2 linked regions of the Coturnix japonica genome follow. The protein of the gene in region 2 interacts with the protein of the main gene of each other region in a pairwise test. Links are inferred from orthologs where the notes say so. Each region holds a gene or a part of one and is shown on either strand. Other genes may lie near its edges.

Region 1 (4,604 bases), on a different chromosome or scaffold from region 2:
GTAATAAGTGCTGGATTGAAAGGGCAGCTTTATCTCTGTCTGCATCGTAGTATTTCTCAAGTTGGTGTGCAGAGAACCAGAGCTCTCCTCTCATTGTGTGCAAGAGTGCCTGAAGTCTCAACTGCTGCTCCATTATATGTACTCAACTGTTGTGCAGTATGAACAAATGTCAATTCCTAAGGTGTTACCAGAGCCATACCTTGTTTTGATGTTCTGGTCACACCAGGCCAACTTGATACCAGCACTGAAGATGCTGAAGACTCAAGATGAAGGAAATAGCATTTCACATCTTCCATTCAGTTAAAACTTCCACAAAAGCCCATTAGGAGAAATGGCGACATCAAATTCTGCCACCAAAACCTTGGTTTCTGTGTTCAGCCACTCTTATATTGCTGGAGGAAATATGAAGATCTCTGTAGCTCTTTCTGAGAGTAACCAACAGGAAAAGTTAATCTGGAGAGGGTCACACTGAGATTCTGCAGCTAATCCATGTACTATTTTAGTGTAAATCCTGCCACGTGCACACAGGCTGCAGAAGGATCTGGCAACTGCTGTCATGCTGATCTTCAGGAAGTCTATGCAGCAGTTACTAGTCTCAGATTAACTTATAATCTGTTCTTAAATTGCCTAAAATATAAACACATCGATCTTTTAAGGAGGTAAAAGGTTAAGCAGAATGTTACAAGTTTTCAGCATGTAACTGTGTGTACGGAGATGTAGTTCTGCTCAGAAGTCCAACAGGTGCTCATATGTTTAGTATGTAGTAACACAGAATTTATTTTATGGCGTTAATTCTACGTAACAAATAAGTATTCAATAGTTTAGGGGTTGGGGGGTTTGTTATCAAGTCTGTTTATTATAAATTTTTGTTCTTTTTTTCTTTTTTTTGAAGCTGGCTCAGTGCTGCCCTAGCTGGGACGATATAAGGCACTTGTACTGAGAGTCTTAGGTGATGGTTAACTTTCTGAAATAATCCTAGACACTTAGCAGGTTATTTTGTTAACCATAAAAGTAAAGGGAATTAAAATGAGATCACTTTGTGTGGAGTTGTATTTAAAAAAACAAAACAAAGTGCAGGAGACTTTTTCAGCATTATAATGACTGAAATAGTTCCCTGTAGGTAATTAAAGACTGAATCCAATAGCTTGGTTCTACTTCCTGACACATAGGAGTCTGCAGAATCTCAGGTGTGACCACATCCTAAAATGTGTTTTGCTGAACCTAACGCTGATTCAAACATAGACAAGCAGAAAAACAATCAGGGTAGTGCTACCCAATACTTCAGTTTAAATGCTGAGAAAATTATTGGGTCAACATTATTACAAAATTTATGATGTAGTTCAGTGCAACTTTTAGAAGGACTCTGTGAAGAACTGTGTTGAAATCCAGGTTTGTGGCTGAGTTGGTGATGACTGCAGCACAGACAAACCCAATCCAGATGGGTTTGTGGTAGCACTGGCAATAGTTTAACTGCAGCAAGGATGGCTAAACAGATAAACACAGTTTGCACGAACCAACCCAACTCATGTGGGTAAAGGACTGGTTGATCAGCCTTTGCTGACCTCCATGACAAAGGCAAGAGAAGTAGCTAAGCTACTGATTGCACCTTTTCAACTGGGCAGTAACCAAAGCAACCACTGGAACCTGTACGTTTCTAAATCACAGCAATCATAGCAGGTATTTAATGTGAACAAAACTGCAGAATAGTAGCCCTATCCTGTGTTTCTAGTATAGACTTGTAACAGCAATGCTGTCTTGCAGTATCTCACAAAGCAAGTGGAGCTCTTGCGTCAAATGAATGATCAACATGCAAAAGTTTATGAACAGCTGGATGTGACAGCAAGAGAACTAGAAGACACTAATCAAAAACTAGTTGCAGAGAGCAGAGCGTCACAACAAAAGATACTAAGGTAACAAACCTAAGCTAGATCCTCTTTTCTCCCCTCTACTCAACTGATACATGCAGCTTTTTGGTGGCTGTTTGTCTAGCATTGTTCTACAACACTCTTAAACTGAAAGTTTTATTTAAAGGTGATTTGTGGCCAAAGAGCTTCAGAGAAGCTGGAATGGGGAGGGATGGGAACTAATCTGTCCTGGATTAAACTGTCAAGTGTTTTAACATCAGTCCTTCACTTTTAGCTTGACAGAGACTATTGAAAATCTGCAGACACACATAGATGACCTGCAGAGGCAAGTAGAAGAACTGAAAAAGTCTGGACGAGGCCGGATGAACCATGAGAGATCTGACCAGCCAAGATCAATGCACAGCTTCTCTTGTTTGAAGGAGCTATATGACCTTCGCCAGTAAGACTCTTACCTTGCATAGCAAACAGATTATTGAAATTATTTTGAGCAATGTTTCAAAAACTAGATACAAGCACAGATGTTTAACAGGGTAGCAGAAAAGCATTTTAAGTTTGCAACTAGAAAAACACCTGCACAGCTGTGCAGTGTGTGGTGTTGTCATGCTTCTGGTGTGCTCTGGCTGCGGACTGTATTGATCTTTGTGGGAGAGGAACAGTATGTTCTACTTTCTATCTTGACAGGTTCTCCCCCAAAGTCTCCAGCTGTATGAAACTGTGTCCTAGAAAGCCTTCAAGAATGTGAACCTCCCTCTTTTCAGTTAGATAAAGCACAAACACAGATAGCTACAAAGTAAATTATCCTAAACAATATTTTCTGTAACTTACTTTTTCCTTGGACATCTGTAGGCACCTTCTTCTCAAGGTGAGCTTGCTGCAGTAGCTTTGCAGAATTTAAGCTGGTAAAATGTTGCCTGAAGCTTTAGGCTGCTTTCTAATGTAGAGCAGTTCTACCCAGCTGAACCACATTGTATGCCCATCAGGAGTCACCCGGGGTATGGTCCCAATCTGTCTTCACTGCTAGAAGCTAATAGAGGAAGTGAAGTACTTCTGCAGACAGGGAGAACAGGATTTGTGTTTAGGCTTCCAGCACTGTGCAAGTAAGACTGAGCAATTAACAACCTATGCAAGCAAGGAATTACTTGATGACAATTCAAAAGATAAATGGGTTACTTCAAACTGTGAAAGGTTTGTGGGATTGCCGCTCTACAGAACTGCTTTGTTCATTCTGAAGCTTGTTTCCACAATCAGGGGTGACACAAGTTAAGAGATGTGGTAGAAATCTGAAAGTCAGGGAGTATCACATAATATGTGAAGGCAGTATTTAAAAAACTTAAATTATAGATCTCATTATTCAGTAAACTTATCTGTAATTTGAGATTGTTAAAGAGCTGCCATCCTGCTTGAGCTGAGAGGCTTGATGGCACATGAAGTATCTACAGGCTCCAATCATGCTATGTATTCTTTCAGATCTGTTAACATAAACTGTCATTAGTTACCAATGACAGGAAAACTTCAGGTGCAATCAGCTCTATTTCCTATTAGTAATCCTTGCTTCTGTCTCCTCAGGTATTTTGTTTATGATCACGTGTTTGCAGAAAAGATTACTTCAATGGATAGTCAGCTAAGTCCTCTGGAAGAAGAAAATGAGAACTTGAAGAAGGCAGTTACGGTTCTGCAAGCCCAGCTCAACCTAGAAAAAGAGAAGAGGGTAACGATGGAGGAGGAATATAGTCTTGTGGTGAAAGAAAACTGCGACCTTGAACAGAGGCTTGTTGATATTGACTTGTATCGGGCTCGTGCAGAGGAGTTAGAAGTGGAAGTAGCTGAAATGCGACAGATGCTTAAATCTGAAAACACACTCCACAATGCGGAGAAATTGGTGCCAGAATCCTTTTTCATTTCATTTAAGGAATCTTTAGAAAGGGAGCTTGGTCAGAGCCCAGCTGATGACGGGCTTCTGGCTGTCCCTGAACTTGACAAAAAGGCACTGAAGCGGAGCAGCAGTGAAAATTTCCTGAGCAGTGCTGCAGGGGGAGACATTCTAAGGGGCCACGAAGAAACGTGTATCAGGAGAGCTGAAGCTGTGAAGCAGCGGGGAATCTCTGTACTCAATGAAGTCGATGCTCAGTATAATGCTCTGAAAGTGAAATATGAGGAACTTTTGAAGAAGTGTCAAATAGATGAAGATTCTTTGAAACACAAGGCTGTACAAACACTGAAGCAGTATTCTAAAGACAGTGTGGGAAATAACCAGTATGAGTTTTCAGCTAATAATCAAGAATTTATGAATGCAGGAGAATCGCTCAGCTCCACAAATACTCTTCCTGAATATAAAGCACTCTTCAAGGAAATCTTTAGCTGTATCAAAAAAACAAAGGAAGAAATAGATGAGCACAGATCTAAGTACAAGTCCCTTTCTTCTCAGCCGTGAATTTAGACATTCTGATGACCGATTTGTTGTTGGCAACTCATTTGTTGTCTAGAAGGGGGGAAAATTTTTACACAAATGTCAGAAGGCCCCGTGCACAGATGTTTCTGTTTTCAATTGGCTCATAGACACGTAGTTAAAAAGCTAGTTAGACTATCAGTGTCCCTGTACCTATGTAGCAATAGATGTAATGTTGTTTAGCACTGTCACACAAACTAGTGGTTGTAAAGGAAACAAAAACATTGCAACTTAATACTATAATGCTACTTAATACTACACTTGATTTCTGGCAGAAACTGACAATAGTTTTC
Region 2 (4,607 bases):
CTCTCGTTGTGCTGCTCCATCTGCAGCTGGATGTCATTCAGTGTCACCTGGAAGTGGGATGTCACCTCCTTCCGTTTCTCCTCTTCCTCTCGTGCTCGCTGGACACCCTCCTCCTGTATTAGAAGGGCAGACAGCAACGTGGCATCACATCAGGCAGATGAACAAACCTCCCTGGGCCGTGATGATCTGAACCCACCCAACTTCCCACTGCTGCTGGTATCAATCAGGAAGGCTCTGCAGGCCATTGCATGGCAGCTCCTTCACTCCAAGAGCTGAGCAAGCCCACAAATGATCACTTCCTTCAAAATAAAATCACAAGGGTCAGCTCCCTCCCCTGCTGTCCCTTGCAAGATAACAGATTAACAGCACAACTGAAATCCTGCACTGGACATCAGACTGCGGGCGACCACTCCTTAAAATCAGCCCTGCAGCAGGTGACCTAAGGGTTTGGGAGGAAGCAGCTCCTGCAGCAATCCCAGGAGACACTCGCCTTGAGGGTACGGTTGTGTCTCTGGAGCTCACGGCACAGGCTCTCCAGCTTGCTGCGGGCCAGGATGGCCTTGCTGTGCTCACTCTGCAGGTGGTCCTTCTCTTGCACCAACTGTGTCTGCTTCTTCTGCAAAATCTTCATCTGTTTCTGGGAGTTTCGGTGTTCTTCCAGCTAGGGTAGGAGAGCAGAGGGCAGAGATGCAGCAAAACAGACCAGGGCAATGCTGTGCCCATATAAGGGTACACAGGGATCAAATAGGTGTTCTGTCTACTCTGAAAGGACAGGAGCTTTATAATAAAAAGCACAGTCAGATGAATACAGAACCCAAGGTCTCCCACACACAGCCTTTCTCCTTCCTGAATTAACATCCTACTGGAATTGGTGAGAAGTGCACATTCCTTCAGGACCTCCAAGCACTCAATGCTTAAACAGAGCAGAGCTCTGAGTGCTGTCCCAGTGCTCACTGCAGCAGCGTCCTCCCACTGCCCCAGAGCCTGGAATGAAGAAACGAGGACTCACCAGCTCAGCGTATTTCTTGCACAGTGCTGCCAGTTTCTCCTCTGGCGTGCTCAGGGTGTTCAGGGTCTGCATCAACAAAGTGATTTCTTTGCCTGCAGTGAGACAGAATTAAACAGAAAGGTGACGTCACGTACATGGAGTTGTGGCTTATAAAGGCAAGGACAGGAGACAGAAACCAGGTCTCACACCTGTGACCACCCTGGCCCAGAGTTCCCATCTCCAGTGCCTATTTGGGGGTTTGTCCCCCAGATTTCACCACATACAGCAGTGAACAATTGAAGCAGCTGAGGAGAAACGTGGTTATCAGAGTAGGGAACCACCAAGGGGCCAACTAGACAACGCTGTGTGCAGCAGAGGGGAAACCTGCACAATTCAGAGGCTGCAGCAGCACTCAGGACTGATGAGTGTCTTTGCAACACTCAACGTTTCCTCCCATACCACAAGAATAAGATGCTGTACTATTTCCAAACACGTACCTAAGGTATTCATTTCTCTAACAGCACTTAGTGCAGTATAAAATCCACATCTGCACCAAAGTTCTCAGGCTGGCAGCACAACCACAGCAGGAAACCCCTTACCGAGGCCCTTGGCTTTCTTCTTTTCCTGAGCCTTCTTCTGATCCCGCTCTCCACACTCGTCTCCAGGTCGAAACTCTTCGGTCCCCTTCGTTCCTTCCTTCTCACCATTCATCTCGGGGCTGCCTGACTCCTGATCTCCGTTCCTCGGGGACTCACTGAGGCACTTCTCCACTTCCTCTGGCTCCACGGGCTCACTCTGCCCACCGTCCTCACCCGGACCCTCCTGGCTGGCATCCACGCAGTACGTGTTCAAGATGTCCTCAAGCTGCCTGCTCAGCTCCTCAGAGACATCCTGCACGGCAGCCCGGGAGGACTTTGTGTCGTCCTGTGCAAGGGGAGCTGTCGGAGATACAAGCACAAAGGCGTGATGCTTCCCCACGCCGCCTGTTCTCTGCTCTCCACGCACACACAGCAAGGGGAAGGTTTCCCCGAGCACCTCAGTGCACCAGGGCGGGCTGAACTCCCAGCACACAAACTGCTTTGTTCAGGCTGTGCCTCCAGCCAGCTGCCCTGACAATGGAGGTGCATTCCTAACAGCCTCTTTTGATCACGAGAGCATGACCGAGACCCTGACATCTGTCAGGAGCAAGAACTGCCCCCTCCCACCATCCTCTAACCAAAGCAGGTTGTGTGTGAGCCTTCCCTCGGAGCAGCAGCCTGCTAATATCCCCAGAGCCTTTTTTGCACAACAATAGATCTATAAGCTGAGTTTGCCTCTTTGCTCACATATACGAGCAGCTGTAGCGGCTCAGACCCACATCCCATCCCATCCCATCCCATCCCATCCCATCCCCATCCCATCCCATCCCCATCCCAGCACAATCCATCCCATCCCAGCAGCCCCTCAGCACTTCTCTACATCCACAACTCCTCCCAAGCAGAGCTGTACAGCATCAGCTATTGAACTCACTGCATTGCTGTGCATCTCCTACGTTCCACAGTTACTAAAACGCAGGGCAAGGTTAATTGAACCTGCTGTGAGCTGACCACCCATTCCTGTCTCAATGTCACAGAGCAGCACTAAAGGAACCGATCGCTCAGGGACTCTGTGCTGCTGGGATCAACGCTACGAGTCGCACAGAACGGACCGGACAGAACGGGCCGCCCCGTACCCAATACCGGGACGCGGCGCTGCCCGCACCTTCCATGGCCGCGCTGGGCTCTGCCGGTTCCGCCTCGTCCCCCGGATCGCCGCCGGTTTTGGCCGCGGGTCGCGGGGCCGCTTTGCCGTCTCCGCTCTGGTTCTTCATGGCGGCACCGCTCCGCGCTCAGCACCGGGAGAACCGCTGGAACGGAAACCGCAGCTGGAGCGGGGAATGGAGGGAGCGGACGGGAACCGGGACCGAACCGGGACCGAACCGGGAACCGGGACCCGCCGCGACCCAGCGCTGCGCCACGGGGACGGCATCGAGGAGCCGCGCGGCACCGGATCCCATGGAGCCCGGTATCAGCCCCACACAGCCCGGTATCCCCGCACATATCCCGGTATCCCCTTATAGCCCTGTATCCCCATACAGCCCGGTATCCCCGGATCCCCCCGGTCCGACCGGAGCCCCCGTCCGCTCCCGCCATCCCACGTGACCCCCGTGACGTCATCAACACCTCCCTTCCTCCCGCCGTGACGTCACGCCCGTACCCCCGTGACGTCACCGGCAGCGCTGTGACGTAGCGGCCGCTCCTCCCGGTGCGGTCGGTGCCGGTTGAGGCGGCAGAGCCCCGTTGTACCGGCGGGCAGCGCCCAGCAGCGCCCAGCAACGCCCGCTCCCCCCGCCGGTCCCGCACTGAAGGAAGCGGTTCCGGGCCGGGCCTCGCAGCGTGCGCTCATCGCGCAGGCGCCGCCCCGCTCCGCCGACCAATCAGCGCCGAGCAGCCGCGGGGGCCGCCGGGAGACAGAGGCGAGGAGCGGGAAGAGCCGCGGGAACTACAACTCCCGGCGTGCCCCGCGGCAGCCACTTCCGCCCCCCCCGGTCTCCACAGCCGCTCGCTCCCGGCCCGGCTCCGCTCAGCGCTTTGTTCGATCCCGGCCCGGTACGAGGAACCGACCGTGAGCGCGGCCACACACAGCGCTATAACGGGAGCAGCTCGGGCCTCGTGTGCAGGTAACGGCTCACAGCGCTATTACACACATTACATTACACAGGTGTTGGTTTCCTCTGGAGCCCGATTAGACAAACAGGTGCCGATAGATCGTATAAAATACACAGATCTGAGACTTTATGAAGGAAAATGTTTGTGAGCGGGACGGAAACATGGAAATGAGGCCCAGTGTGTTCACACAGCACCAGAACCGGGCTGTGGGGCTCCAATACAGCTGGGGATGGGGCAGCTCCCATAGTACAGCCCCCCCAGCCCCAGCCCTGCTCACAGCCACCAGCTCCGGCTGCTTCGACCCTTGTCAACAGCAGCAGCTCAAACCAACCAACAATATCAGGACACGGGGAGGATCCTCCCACAGCCCCTCACCCTTTGTCCATGTTCTGCAGTGTGAATCCAGCCCAGCTCTGCCAGGATCGCTGCATGGGGAGCGCAGAAAGGCCAGGGCTAAACTCTGCTCTTGGCAAATTAGAGTCTTTAATAAGAGTAACATGTGCAAAAAAATTAAATAGATCAACCCAGGTTTCCAGAATTATTCTCGTCTGAATACTCGCTTTTCTATTTCTGTTCTTACCCAACCCAACGCTGAAACCTCAATTAAGTACCCGAGGTAAGAAGTGACATTTGGGAGAGATCACCACAAAGAAAAATAAACCCAAGAGGTGCAACGAGTTACCTCAGTGTCCTTCCTCCACCCAGATGCCTGCTTTAAAGACACGTATGCAGCAGCAAAAAGAAAATAAACGTGCAAGACATCCCATTTTCTTCATGAGGATAAAGCACTCTGTCTATTCGTTTGAAGGAAGAATTGTTTCCTAACAGGTGGAGTGAGCGTCCAGCCTTCCGTTTGCAAGGAGGAAATGGGATCAGCAGCTTCTCCCAGTTGTTTTGTGGCAAATTTGTGGTGGTCTTTTTGCCTGGGGCGT

Evidence for each region. The genes of interacting proteins can lie anywhere in the genome.
Region 1: the proteins of TXLNA (region 2) and CDR2 interact in binary tests that used the Homo sapiens proteins (3 or more experiments, as listed by UniProt). The two-hybrid records come from large-scale screens. The link is inferred for Coturnix japonica from reciprocal best matches to the Homo sapiens genes TXLNA and CDR2.

The regions. Positions count from the first base shown.
Region 1 is NC_029529.1:8,355,417-8,360,020, reverse strand, and holds part of CDR2 (cerebellar degeneration-related protein 2), read left to right. Parts: intron 1-1,761; coding exon 1,762-1,910; intron 1,911-2,139; coding exon 2,140-2,304; intron 2,305-3,431; coding exon 3,432-4,296; 3' UTR 4,297-4,604.
Region 2 is NC_029538.1:4,544,227-4,548,833, forward strand, and holds the start of TXLNA (alpha-taxilin), read right to left. Parts: upstream 3,409-4,607; 5' UTR 3,238-3,408; exon of another isoform or gene 3,224-3,237; intron 2,874-3,223; 5' UTR 2,838-2,873; coding exon 2,729-2,837; intron 1,927-2,728; coding exon 1,588-1,926; intron 1,102-1,587; coding exon 1,010-1,101; intron 662-1,009; coding exon 491-661; intron 114-490; coding exon 1-113. UniProt on the Homo sapiens protein: May be involved in intracellular vesicle traffic and potentially in calcium-dependent exocytosis in neuroendocrine cells.